Linked DNA regions of Drosophila melanogaster. The protein of the gene in region 1 interacts with the protein of each later gene in a pairwise test. Each region holds a gene or a part of one and is shown on either strand. Other genes may lie near its edges.

Region 1 (4,430 bases):
CTGCCGCCGTAAAGCACGAAAAAAAGCCACAGAAAAAGTGTAGGGAACCAAAGTAAGTTTTTGGCCTAATGCGCAACTATGCGGAAAATATTTGCGCTTAGTTTGGGTTCAGCCTAGGAAAATGTAGTCGCACACTGAGCCCACTGCTACGTGTGCTGGTTGAAGGACACGAAAGTGGGCCACGGCATAAGCCAGGGAAGCAGGGCAGGTTGACGACACACAAATGAACTGGGCCAGAATGGAAAGGAGCTGGTGACAACTTTAAGATGCCGAATTACACAAGTGCGTCCTCAATCGTCAGCGATTTATCTGGGCCAAATTCAAACGAAGAAATTCTTACTATAGAGCTGCGTTGCTAGGTTTTACTTAATTTATATAAAAATACACAATTTGGCTCGTTTTACTTACTTTTCAGGGTGATGATAAGTGAATTGAGTTAATGTAAATTATGTCCATCAAAAAAAGAAAGATACCATTATTAGATTTCTAGGCAGAGCCAACAAAGTATATTTTGTAATATATAGGTAAGCCCATTTCATTCATCTACATTTATTTAAATAAAGTAAACAAATAATTTTGACAATCTTTTTAATTTGAATAACTTGCTGTAGAAGTCGATAAGGCGTTTGATTTCTGAGTTTTAGGGAAAGTTGCGCCCTCGGAATTGTGCCAGGGATTTGGTCAGCATCATGGAGGCCTCCCGTTGGGAGCTTCCCTTCCTCTGGACCAGCTGCTGACCGGATGTGGGATAAGTGGGCTTAGATGTTGGTTTCTGGGATCTGTTCAAGTCGTTCGCGGTGTTGGTGTGTTGCTGCGCTTGGTTGCCACCACCTGGCATCGATGTGGAGGAGGCACATGGAAAGAGTCGCTGGGTGGACGACTGGCAAACAATATCTGACATGGAAGTGCTTCCAAGGTTGGCATCGGGCATCCGTTTAGATGGGATCGACTCCACACTTAGTTCCTTCACCCGATCCGCATAACGCAGCGTGTTCAAGGTATGCTCCACCGAATGCAAGCATGGCGAGATCATGGCTATCATGCAGGTTTTCACCTTCTTACCTCCGATGAAGGAGTCCCGCAGGACTTGGGTCAGCTTGGAGCCACGGAATGGCAAATGACTCGACTGGCGCCCCAGAGCGCGAATGCATTCCTTGAGGACCAGCAGCGATTTATTGATCTCGGATCCTTCCAGGCGCGTCTGTCGATCCGCCGAGCTGTTGTCCGCTCCTCTTTCATTCCCGGCCAGATCTATAAGCGAGAATTTCCCGTGTAGCTTCTCGCCCGCCGCGGATCTCAGCACGATTTGGAACACAGCATGCGATCGGGAGGACTTGGAATTGGCAGAGGTGTGACCCGAGGTTCGGACACTATTGCCCAACTCGAGTAGGTCCAGAACTTCGGCGGTGTTCTGTACTGGATTCTGGGTGAGGCCCACCACTTGCACCTGCTGGTTTCTATCCTCCAAGACACGCAGTTGTGGCTTGCCAGGCATCAGGAGATCGAACACCCGGGTGCCGTAGATCTCGAAGAAGCTGCAGTAAACTTTCAGATTAAGCTTGTTATAGGGAACCGTCTTTAGAGTGGAGAACACGTCCTTAGCGGCCATTGCATAGATGCCATCCATTGAGCTCTGATGCCTTCCGGGGAACTGACCACCCATCGTATAGGTCTTGCCGCTTCCAGTTTGTCCGTAGGCGAAACACGTGGCCATTCCGCCATCAAAAATGTGCTTTATCAAGGGTCGGGCTGTGAATTCGTAGACCGTGGCATTGGAGCACTCCTCGTCGAAGACGTAATCGAAACGGAAGCTATGATTTTCCAGGAACTTGACCAGGTTCACATGCTTGCGGGGCTCGTGGACCACCAATGTGTGCTTAGACGGAATGCTGACCACATCCTGTTCCCGGTCAGCCAGCTCCTTGCGCCTCAGTGGTCTCTTCCTCACACAAACCATAATTTGGTGGCAATTGATTCGTTCGTTCGTAGTACCACTTCTCACCCGCTGACTCTCCATTTGCTCGCGTTGCAGTCGTATCATTCTGGCTACTTCCCAGTTGGGATTTCCCGGATCTTCGTTCTTCCCCTGCTCCCGATCTAGACGAGTCCTGGCTTGTGCTTCTCGCCTCCGTTCCCGTTCTTTTCGCATTCTTTCAGCCTGGTGCACCACCTCGTCCTCTCGAACTGGCGGCGCCGTCTGCTGGCGTGGCGGGGCAGTGGCCAGTACAGGAGATAAGCTCCCAGTCGCTATTCGTTGTTTCATTGAACGTGGCGATATGGAGGCAGTTTGATTGGCTGACGCCGCATTGCCGCCACTGCAGCGGGGCGAGTCGAAGATATGAGGATTCATCAGGACCACCAGCTCCAGGGGCAGTTCCTTACCACGCACCGTATGTCCTTCGGGCCACTCCACCGTAATCAGCTTGGAGTCACCGCCCTCCAGTTTGATAATCTCCGCCAAGTGGACTCTACCGTCCGAGCGACGGATGAAAATCTTCTGTTCGATCGACAACTTATCCATGGCAGCAAATCAGTCAGTGCGACTTTCCTTCGATTTCTGCAACAAATTTTGTTAACTGCTAATTTTTACCAATTGAGCGATCATATTATTTAGACCGAATTCTTATTTGGTATTATGATTAGGGCAGAAAACGGGAGTGACAGTCAATGCAATGCTCGATTTTCCGTTAGCCATCTATGCTAGAAATTTTTCAAAAATCATATCAAAATTATACTCAATTTCGATGATTTATGCATCTGGTAAGTGCATGTGAATGAAACAGGTAGTTATAGCGCTCTATTTCTGGTCTTCCCGTGCCATTCTAGTGATATCTGTTCTGGCGGGAATTGTTTTAGCTATTTGTTCAATTTGAGGGCAAACAACAGGCAGCAGGAATAACCGAATCAACAAACAACACCATTCCGAGAGCCTCTCTCGTCAGCCGTGCTGCATGTCCTGTGTGTATTCTATTTGCCAAGCGGGCGGTGTTCTGAAATGAAGCATTCTTTCGACGAAAGAGACGGAAAGAGATAGAGCGAGGAACAAGTTGCAGATACGTTTGCATAAGCCGAGACGTGTGTAACGTACCAAATTGTTATTTATTTTTTGAAGTGCTTGCGCCATTGCCTCTGTGTAAAGGTGTATCTGTGTGTGTCGTATCTGTGTTTTCGCCGCCAAACGTATGGGTGTTCTAGTGTAGGCAGGCGCAGATACACAGATACATTGCCCACAGATACGTGCAACTTGTTTGGGTCTTCAGTGGCGTCTTGTTTGCTATTTGCCGTCACATTTTGCCAAATTTACCGTGTAATTATCGGCAAAGGCGAACGCCAAACCAGTACCACCTCAGACCGACCACCACCCGCCACCCACTGGAAAGTGCAACATGGAAGGGGCGATCAGGCTGGACTCTGGACACTCCTGCTCCCCAGCTGATAGGAGTATGCAAATTTCGATAGCTTTTTGTCCTGTTTGGCCGGGACCCCCAGGCATATTTGTTTAACCGTAGTCAGAACGAGCCGGACAGTTTGATTTCGTTTCGGGTATTTCCATTTTCATTTTGATTTTTAGCCGGCATTTTGCACCTGTACGCAGGTAGCACGTAAGCTGAATATTTGCTATATGCTTGCGTAAACTGCAAATCTGAAATGAACTAATAAAGCAATTGAAATGGAAAACATTTGCCGTGTTTTACACACAAAAAAAAAAAAATTTAATTCCAAATAAATTGAAAAGCCATTGGACTGGATGTGCGTAATGTGGCTTGCATAAATTTCTTTGGGCCTCCTGAAACGCAATCATAAATGCATGCATAATGAAGAAATGATTTCATGGATATAATCTTTTGATATATTGTGCGCATTTTTTCTTTTGCTCATTTTTCTCTAACCCGTCAGCCTCTCGATCAGCCTCAATCATTTTAAATAATAATAAATAATTTACATATTGTTTCACGCGAGCAATGCATAAAGAACACATCCACGCAATGCAATCATAAACAATAATTGTCATTCGGCGCGGATTAAATGTTGTCCGCTAATGTAATCGAATTGGACAATTTCGACATTTAAACTAATCCGTTTACAAAATCCGGATGCAATCACACCACTACACCCCTCTCCCTGCCAGCTGATTACCGCCTTTGCTGCTTTGATTTAATTATGCCTGACAAAAAAAAAAAAAAAACGAACGACAAATCGCAAAGCCGAAAACTAAATGAATTGCATGCATCATTTATTAAATATCAATGTTAAAATTGACTTATGGACGAACAGATTAATTTGTTGTCCCAATTTGAGTCCGGCAAGAGGCACGTAGTTGGAGATGCTCTGCATGATGTCGATGGGTGTTGATGAATCGTTAGGAACTAAGCTTTGCAAACTTTCTTCATGAAGTTCCATATTATCTTCGGAAAGTTGGCTTTCGGCTC
Region 2 (4,059 bases), 5.7 Mb from region 1:
TTATCATCAGGACTTTGGCTCTGAGCGGTTCAAGATAGCCGAGAGTCTCTTTGACAATGCAATGCTGGGAGCTGGCCAATTGGCGTCCACCAGTGTGGGCATGTGTGATGCGGATGTGCGGCTGTCACTTTTCGGCTCAGTTGTCGTTACTGGTATGAATTTTCCCTAGGTTTTAAAACTAATTACTTATACCTTAATATTTTGCTCTTAGGTGGCAATACCCTTCTGCAAGGCTTTCCGGAGCGCCTAAATCGCGATCTCCAGCTGCGTGCCCCCTCAAATACGCGCCTAAAAATGATTTCTGCCAATGGCAGCGTGGAGCGAAGATTTGGAGCCTGGATTGGCGGCTCTATTCTAGCCAGCATAGGTACTTTCCAACAGATGTGGATATCGTCGCAGGAGTACGAAGAGGCCGGCAAGAGCCAAGTCGAGCGGAAGTGTCCGTAAGGACAGCGCAATCGAATTCCAATTTTAATTTTAAAGACGCAACTCTATGTAATAATATAAATGTGAAATGTGAAAAGTGTCCCATTATTCAGAAGACATCTGAGCGTTTGTTTAGGAATAGATTGCATTTGATTACGGAAATGTTTTTAGTTACACACATATGTATATATTTACTGCGACGCTGACGCGGACGTTACAGTTTCACATTTCAATGGAGTTTTCACCGGCTGCCTTTTGTCTTTCGGATCTAATTCGTACGTAATGGATATGGAGTGAACTCTGGGTCCTCGCTTTTTGTGGAACTGTTGATAGAGCGGTGGCACATAAATCTTGCGGCGAATCAGCGTCTCTTCTGTTATTTCGTGGCAAAGTTTTATAAATCGTCACATGGCTCCAGACATTGTGTTGTTGCAAACGCATTGCTATGGGCGGAACACATGATGAACTTAGTTTTAAATGATGTTTATCTCGGCTCACTCACCTTGGCATTTAGTATGTCCTCCGACCAGTCCTCCTTGGCAATTCGACCAACAGCGTTGACCAGAATCTTCTTCACCTTAATTACGTTCTCGGCAAAAGTACGGAGGACATCCTGCACGTTGACACCCTCGCAACCCATGCGCCAGCAGTCGTAGTCCGTGGCAATGGCCACCGACCCGTAAAGTAGGCCAGCCTCCTTGGCTAGCACCACTTCTGGACACGTGGTCATGTTTATGAGGTCCCCGCCCCACTGACGGAACATGTGGCTCTCCGAGCGAGAGGAGAAGCGCGGACCCTCAATAGTCACAATGGTGGCCTTATCGTGGGCGGGAATCTCCAGCTCCTTGGCCGCCTGAAGCAGAATGTTGCGGGTGCGTTCGCTGAATGCCGGAAACATGGGCAGGTGGCAAACACCACGTGGACTTTGTGCCTTGCCATCGTAGAAGGTCTGAAGGCGTTTAGTAGTCCTGTCGATAAAGTCGTGTGGAACAACCAGGTTGCCCGGCTTGATTTCCTCGCGCAACGATCCACATGCCGTGGAGACAATTAAGTGGGTGCAGCCCACATCGCGTAGAGCCCAGATGTTGGCCCGGTAGTTAACATTGGAGGGCATGATGTCGTGCTTGCGTCCATGACGCGCCAGGAGTACGCACTGTACTCCATTGATCTCGCCTTCAATCAATGCATCAGACGGTTCTCCGTAGGGCGTCTCCACCACACGTTCCTGCCGCTGTTCCAGGATATCTGGGTCGTCAAGCCCCGAACCGCCAATAATACCAATCTGTGGGTTATTTATAGTTTGGCATTGAACAAAATGGGGTGCTTAATTTTTGGACGGACTACGAACTCACCTTGACCGGAAGCGGGTCCAGATTGGTGTCTTTACATTTAATCGTAATCATGGCTAGCGGAGGATTGTGCTTTTACAAGCTGCTGTTGCGGCAGTCTGGAGCAGAGTAGAATGTTCCCGCTGATAGCGTACTGATAACTGTGTGTCTACACGGTAGGGTGCATAAGCCGCAAAAGCTCGGGCATATTGAAATGACACTCAGCACGTCGTCGTGGGTGTGTAATTATGGTAATTGAATTATGTTTGCAAAATTTTGATTTTAAATCTTATAATAATAGTTATGACAAATTAATATTTATAATTATTCATTTTAGAACAAAACTAATCATTTGATAAAGAATCAAATCAATCAAAATTAAACTAACAAAGCCCTTCTAATTATATTTATTACAACTTATATCCATATCAGTTCCGAATAAAGAAAATAGGAAATTGGAACATGGAATAAATTATTTATTGTATCATTTATATAACAAACTTAATTTGTATGCTTATTTTGTAGGGTGTCTAAATGTGACAGCCGACCCTGTTATCGAGCCGTTAGTCGGGTACCCTACCCGTATGCACTTCACAACACTGCCTGAAGTGAAGAAGAAGAAATCTGAATGTAAACAGCTGGAAGTGCGGCACATGTGTTTTGGCATAGAATCTAAAACAAGGAGAAGGAAAAACAATGTACCACCTTGGACAGGATCTGCCAGGCAACGATGTGGATGATATAGAGGATCTGATATCCGCCGATGATGTCAAGCCGCGTGAGCGCTACGAAAACAAAAAAACCGTTACGGTTCGGGCCAAGAAACGATCCCAAATTCGACTTGAATCTCAAGAGGAGGAGGAAAAGCCGAAGCCCACGATCCACGAGAGTGTCATACCCGGCACCCAGAAAGTTTTTGTGAAAACATGGGGCTGCGCCCACAACAATTCGGACTCGGAGTACATGGCCGGGCAGTTGGCTGCCTACGGATATAGATTGAGTGGAAAGGAGGAGGCGGATCTGTGGCTGCTCAATAGCTGCACGGTTAAGAATCCTTCGGAGGACACTTTCCGCAACGAGATTGAGTCGGGAATGCGAAATGGCAAGCACGTCGTGGTTGCCGGTTGCGTTCCCCAGGGAGCTCCCAAATCGGACTATCTGAACGGTCTTTCCGTAATCGGTGTCCAGCAAATCGACCGAGTGGTGGAGGTCGTTGAAGAGACCCTCAAGGGTCACAGTGTCCAGCTGTTGCAAAACAAAAAGAAGGTCCATGGTCGGCGGGTAGCTGGAGCACCACTCTCATTACCCAAAGTCCGCAAAAATCCATTAATAGAAATCATATCCATCAACTCTGGATGCCTAAATCAATGTACCTACTGCAAGACTAAACACGCCCGCGGTGACTTGGCCAGCTATCCCCCGGAGGAGGTTGTAGAGCGCGCCCGCCAATCGTTTGCTGAAGGCTGCTGCGAGATCTGGCTTACTTCCGAGGATACAGGAGCTTATGGTCGAGATATTGGAAGCTCATTGCCGGAATTGCTCTGGCAACTGGTGGAAGTGATCCCCGAGCACTGCATGTTGCGTGTAGGCATGACCAATCCACCGTATATACTGGAGCATCTCGAGGAAGTGGCCAACGTCTTGCAGCACCCGAGAGTCTACTCCTTTTTACATGTTCCTGTACAGGTAAGGATCGAGTGTAATATATATAAATATTTTTCGATAGTCAATTATTTCTTTTTATAGAGTGGTAGTGACTCTGTGCTGGGCGAGATGAAACGAGAGTACTGTCGGCAGGACTTTGAGCACGTTGTGGATTTCTTAAGGGAACGAGTTCCCGGTGTCACGATTGCCACGGATATAATTTGTGGTTTCCCAACAGAGACAGAAGACGATTTCGAGGAGACGATGACCCTTTGCGCCAAATATCGCTTTCCCAGTCTGTTCATCAATCAGTTCTTCCCTCGTCCGGGCACACCAGCTGCTAAGATGGATCGCATCCCCGCAAACCTGGTGAAGAAACGAACTAAACGTCTCACGGATCTCTTCTACAGCTATGAACCCTATGCGGACAGAGTGGGTGAAATATACACCGTCTTGGTCACAGAAGTTTCACACGACAAGCTCCATTACGTGGGCCACAACAAGAGCTACGAGCAAGTACTGCTGCCCATGCGGGATAACCTTCTTGGTACTCGTGTCCATGTGCGAATTACCAGTGCGAGCAAGTTTAGCATGGTGGGAGAAATTTTAGACGACGAACGCGATTGGACGAGGTGTGCAAAAAATCAGGAGTTACCAAACG
Region 3 (5,665 bases), on another chromosome or scaffold:
GTGCTCATTTTGTGGATATGTTTTCGCTGCCAGTCACCAAACTCGAATGTGCCGCAGTTGGCAAAAAATGAACTTATACAGAAATTTTTGTGTGTTGGGTGATTTTGGTTTTATGGCCTTGGCTTCGTATTATTATCAAATAATGAGTTCGTTATCAAACTCGGTTGTTATAGAAATGATAACAGCACATATTCTTGTACAAAATTCTACCAAAACAAATGTCTAATAGCAAACGGTAGCCAATTCGATAAAGTTCACATAACACCAATAAAACTCAACCACCGTCGTTTATGGTCTGCGAAAAAATGGGTTATTATAATTTGTATTTGGTTTGATAAGAAAATAGAATACATATTAATGTAATTATTGATAATTATGATGTATATATAAAATACAACCCCTTTACGTGAAGGTTACGTTAGTTTTTGAGAACGATATCAATAGTTGTGACGATTTATTGGATATTGAATGAGGGCAAAGTCCATGACAAAAACTCTCTTCTGAAACTCGTGTTATCAGTGTGTGATTTTCATTTGTTTAGAAACAGATATGATTTGTAGTAGTCACACCATTTAAACATTTAATTTTGGTCCTACACTCATCGAGCCAAAAACATTACTCATAAGCGATAAGACCAATTGTAGCATATTGATTTCCATTTATGAGTGGAACTTCGCTTGAACATTTTATGAATCAGCAATAGAGGGGATGAGCTTCCTGTACACCTGAATTCCGTGCAGATATGTGTCGGCCCGCAAATATTCATCATGATTGTGCAGCAGCACCGGGGTGTTGTTGATGGGTGAAAATCCCAGAGCGGGAATTCCCACTTGCCGGACGTAGAAGCTATCGGTGGCGCCGGGGAAAACTCGTGTATGGGTGATCAAACCTCTGGAAAATTTCAACAAATTATGAAGTGAAAACTACACAATCTTTGTTTACCTACAGTTCATCTAGTCCCTTTTTGAAGCCCAGCCAGTAGGGATTGGAGTCGTCTATCTTGGTCACCACCGAGGGGCACTTCAGCGTGAAATCCAGTTCCACTCCACCACCGACTTCGTTGCACCACTCGCGAATCTGATTCTCCATTGCATCGGCATTCTGGTTGATGGCTATGCGAATATCAAAAGTGGCTTCTAGTACGGGGGGAACCACATTGCTTTGGACGCCACCGTTGAGTTGGGTCAGGTTCAAAGTGGTCACATCACCGGACTGCAAGGAGGAGTCCTCGGCCAGTAGCTTGACCTGGGTTTCTCGGAACTTCATCAGCTTATCCATCACAAAGTGAAACTTTTCGCCAGCCGTGCTTTTGTGCAGCAGCGATCCATGACCTGAAGTGCCACTGAATTTAAATCGAAGTTCTGCAGGGGTATAAAATGAATCAGAATATATTGCTACTGATGCAAATGGAAGACTTACGCCACAATGTACGCTCGGCGTAAAATACAGGATAAGTGTCATCTTCACTGGCGATGCCCTCGTCCAGGCTAAAGCCCACATTCATGGCTTTGAAGTAATCACCCTTGACGAATTCAGCCATGCCCATGTGTCCGCCAGTTTCCTCGTCGGGCACAAAAGTCAAATATACGGTCCTTTTTGGCTGATAGCCACTGGCTTTGAGTGCACGGACCGCAGCCATGTACTGACATCCCACGGACTTCATGTCCTGGGCACCGCGTGCATAAATCCGGCCTTGGGCGTCTATGTGGGCACCAAACGGCTCATGGGTCCACTTTTCGGGAAACACGGGCACCACGTCCATGTGTGAGTTCAATATAATGGATTTCAGCTCGGGATGCTTGCCCAGCCACTTCATAATCACCACCGGTTTCGAAGGCACAACAGGATACACCACGTCCACGCGGAGATTAAGTTTGTTAGCCTGGCGTTTTAGGAACTCCACGCATGCAGCTGCAAGGGAAATAGGGATAACAAAATCCAAGGAGCGGAAAAACAAATCCTTACTGTAGTCCACGTCTGGATGCACCGAGGGAATGCGCAAATACTCCTGGAAAATGATTATTTCCTCGTCGTTCTTCCATTGTTCCGTGCAAGTGCACATTTTGAGTTGAATGCCCCGTGGTTCTAAAGGAACTGACTTGTAATCCACCGTGCTGTTTGGTTTGAAGTCTGAGTGTGGATTGACTTAATGGCATTATCAGTTGTTGACTTTAAGCTACTTGATTAGAAGAGCCCACAATTTGCGGATTTTCATCTTTGCGCTAAGAGCTTAATGTTATCTAGCAAAGCCATAATAGTAAACCATAAACTTATTCATTTTCATTTAAATTTCCTTTTTTTGCTCACCATTAATGGTATGGACTATGGACTGGCTTATTTATTCATACATTGTTTATTTAAATGGGTTTTTATAAGCCTGCTTGTTTAAAGTTATTACAATAAACATCGACAAGTAAGCATTAAATGCATTATTTCATAATTGAATTGAGTTCGCTAAGCATCAGCTACGGCAGGAATGAGCTTCTTGTAAACCTCAATGCCGTGCAAATAGGTATCGGCTTTCAGGAATTCATCGTGGTCGTGCAGCAGGATGGGGGTGTTGTTAATGGGCGAGAATCCTAGAGCTGGAATGCCTGCGTAGCGAATATAACGACTGTCCGTGGCGCCGGGGAAAACACGAACCCGTGTCTTGAGGCCACTGAAAGAAACAAGGAGAAAGGATATCAGAGCCATGCCTTTTGTCAGAGCTTCTCATCCTTACAGGTCATCGAGTGCTTTCTTAAAGGCCAGCCAGTAGGCATTCGACGAGTCAATCTTTGTTGGCTCCACAAAGGGGTTTTTCATCTCAAACTCCAGTTCAATGCCGCCGCCAGCCTCCTCGCACCAGTCGCGAATCTGCTTCTCAAAGGCAGGGATATCCACGGTGACGGCAATGCGGATATCAAATACAGCTTCCAGCAATGGGGGAACCACGTTGCTCTGGACTCCGCCCCTCAGTTGGGTGAGATTCACAGTGGTCACATCACCAATTTCGAGGGATGAGTCGTCAGCTAGTTTTTGCACTTGCGATTTGCGGAACTCCATCATTTTGCCTACCACATAGTTCAGCTTCTCGCCAGCAGTATTCGGGAGCAACAGTGATCCGTGACCAGCAGTTCCGCTGATCTTGAAACGAAGATCTGCAGGAAAACATGGCTAGCTTAAATTGTTTGTATGAGTCAATCCTACTCACGCCAAAGAGTCCGTTCAGCGTAGTACAGAGCGTAGGTTTCATCCGCACTAGAGATTCCCTCGTCGAAACTGAATCCCACATTGAGCTTCTTGAAGTAGTCGCTCTTTACCAGCTCCCGCATGCCCAGGTGGCCGCCAACCTCCTCGTCCGGAACATAAGTGAGATAGATCGTCCTCTTGGGTTGATAGCCACTGGCCTTGAGGGCACGCACAGCTCCCAGATATTGGGTGCCCACGCACTTCATGTCCTGCGATCCGCGCGCAAAGATGCGACCCTCTGCATCTAGATCCGCGCTGAATGGACCGTGTGTCCACTTCTCCTCAAAAACGGGCACTACATCCGTGTGCGAATTGAGAATGATGGAGGGCAGTTCCGGCTGGGAACCCTGCCATTTTAGCACCACCACGGGATTCTGCTCGTTCACCGGATAGATAACCTCCACGGGCAGGTCCAAGCTGGCAGCCTGGCGTTTCAAGAATTCCGTGCAAACGGCTATAAATAGCAGACACATTTTATGGCAAGGTCATAAAGATCAGGGTACTCTTATCGCAGCCTCATAAAGATATACATGCCCATTGGAACTCACTGTAATCCACATTTGGATGCACCGTTGGTATGCGAAGATATTCGCGAAAGATCTTAATCTCCTCGTTGTTCTCCCACTTGGCTGTACTCATTTTGCACTCTATAAAATGTAAATAATTAGCCGGCTGATAACAAATCAATTAAATTGTTTGCTGAAATCAGCTGATCGACACTTCACCACAGCGGAGAGCAGACACACAACACACCTTTCGCAACACTGGCTCGACGACGACTGTGCGATCGTGGAGAGAAGCGCGCGTTTAAATATCAGCGATAAGCGAGCGAAAGAGAGGGCATGATAATAAATCCGAGAAGGAACTAAACCTAATTTCTTATCATACGGTGCTGCCTATAAACTGTTTTATCTTACGCATTTGTTTACTTTTTAGATGGCTAATCTACTTTTCAGTACAAATGACTTGCAGTTAACAATTGCTTCCGTCATTAATAATATTCGTGTCTTCCCATTTCTATATGAGAAACTAATTTGATGAATTTAATATCCAGCACTCAAAAATTCAATTGATTACAAAAGAGACATCCCCTAATAGTAATTTCTATCTTGTACTGCATTATTTATAAATTAAACTGAATTTTGCAGCTCATAGCACAAGGAGTGGAACTCTATTTCTGTACCATCCCAATTGGTAGGGATTCCACTCCATGTATTGGTGAACATTCTTCCATCACTTTCCGGTACATATGAACCCACTTTAAGGCTCATTTACTTGGGATTCCCCCTGGCTGATGGATTTATTTGCCTTAAATGGAGGCGAAGGTGCTTCGCATTGCTTTGGGGGTAACAGGACTGCAGGATTGCTGGATTGATGGTGACCCCATTTGGCCCGCAGCCAAGATTTCCGATTACTGATGAATCGCATGCAATCGCATTCCAATTCCAGTTGATTTGTTAATCAAGATGCACTGCACACGTTCGCACCACACGCCCAGTGGGCTTCCGGGTAAACAAGTTGCCCCTCCTCGGGCCTTTCAGCCACTCGAATCCAATTCAAATTTCGCATATTAATAGTGTTCCTGCTGCACTTGCCGACTTTGCTGCACTGCGTCTGTTGTCCCAGTAGTGTGTCAAAAGTTAGTTTCGCATTTAGATTTCACGCTTGTTCCCATACAGAAAAAAAGGTGGTTGGGCCAAAAAAAATACACAAAACCAAAGCCCTCTGATTTGTGTCGCATACACACCCTGCTAGGCCAAAGTTGATATTGTTTTAGTGTGTGTACTCACAAAAAGTCATTAAAAGTTCATTAACAATGTTGCTGGGATTTTAATGGCGCACCAGCAGCAATAGCAGCAACTACAGGCTACACATGTCTGCATTTTAAATAACATCCAAGCCCCACATTCGTACAAACTCGTACTCTCCCCATTTACAGCGTCACATAAGTCAAATAAATACACAAGTTTCCTGCGCACAAACACTCGTTCAGCTGCACAATGGGCCAAAATGGCAAGTTTTTGGCATAATTCGAATGTAATGTCCCTAGAATAGAGTCTATAAGTCTGTACAGAGGCTAAAGTAGTTCATTCTTAGTCGAGTAAAACACGAATCTACTTATCTGATGCCAAATTATTCACTTTTCGCCCATGGTGGTGACTTGGGGGCGCGCCTGTTTGTTGTTTGCTGATGTTGCTGCTGAGCTGACATGTTGTCGCTGGGCAAATAAACTAAATGAAAATTTTGTATATTGTAACAATTATCCGGGCAACGCCGGAAACTGTTTGCGTTGAGCACCCAAAACCTGCAGAACTGCAGAGATGGAACCCCGAGGATATCGCCTAATCCGTTATGGGCGCATTACCTGGCCAAAAAAAGCAAAAAAAAAAAATAAAAGCGAGAGAACTGATATAATCCTCCTCTGCCATTTACC

The links.
Region 2: the proteins of Klp59C (region 1) and Mtap interact in a two-hybrid assay, tested with the Drosophila melanogaster proteins (one large-scale study listed by BioGRID).
Region 3: the proteins of Klp59C (region 1) and CG6726 interact in a two-hybrid assay, tested with the Drosophila melanogaster proteins (one large-scale study listed by BioGRID).

The regions. Positions count from the first base shown.
Region 1 is NT_033778.4:23,123,387-23,127,816, forward strand, and holds Klp59C (Kinesin-like protein at 59C), read right to left. Parts: upstream 2,657-4,430; 5' UTR 2,522-2,656; coding exon 641-2,521; 3' UTR 537-640; downstream 1-536. UniProt on the Drosophila melanogaster protein: Required during anaphase to drive sister chromatid separation to actively depolymerize kinetochore microtubules at their kinetochore-associated plus ends, thereby contributing to chromatid mobility through a 'Pac-man' mechanism.
Region 2 is NT_033778.4:17,425,813-17,429,871, reverse strand, and holds Mtap (methylthioadenosine phosphorylase), read right to left. Parts: upstream 2,078-4,059; 5' UTR 1,830-2,077; coding exon 1,779-1,829; intron 1,709-1,778; coding exon 929-1,708; intron 870-928; coding exon 831-869; coding exon of another isoform or gene 618-830; 3' UTR 557-617; downstream 1-556. Other genes in the region: Bap55 (brahma associated protein 55kD), read left to right, coding at 1-152, 212-447; CG6550 (uncharacterized protein), read left to right, coding at 2,451-3,440, 3,501-4,059. UniProt on the Drosophila melanogaster protein: Catalyzes the reversible phosphorylation of S-methyl-5'-thioadenosine (MTA) to adenine and 5-methylthioribose-1-phosphate. Involved in the breakdown of MTA, a major by-product of polyamine biosynthesis.
Region 3 is NT_033777.3:23,090,076-23,095,740, reverse strand, and holds CG6726 (uncharacterized protein), read right to left. Parts: upstream 4,018-5,665; 5' UTR 3,985-4,017; intron 3,965-3,984; exon of another isoform or gene 3,879-3,964; 5' UTR 3,871-3,878; coding exon 3,780-3,870; intron 3,686-3,779; coding exon 3,194-3,685; intron 3,141-3,193; coding exon 2,723-3,140; intron 2,660-2,722; coding exon 2,455-2,659; 3' UTR 2,308-2,454; exon of another isoform or gene 2,282-2,307; intron 2,244-2,281; exon of another isoform or gene 2,241-2,243; 3' UTR 2,063-2,240; coding exon of another isoform or gene 1,966-2,062; intron 1,912-1,965; coding exon of another isoform or gene 1,420-1,911; intron 1,362-1,419; coding exon of another isoform or gene 947-1,361; intron 892-946; coding exon of another isoform or gene 687-891; 3' UTR 557-686; downstream 1-556. Other genes in the region: CG17109 (uncharacterized protein), read right to left, coding at 1-8; CG17110 (uncharacterized protein), read right to left, coding at 687-891, 947-1,361, 1,420-1,911, 1,966-2,062.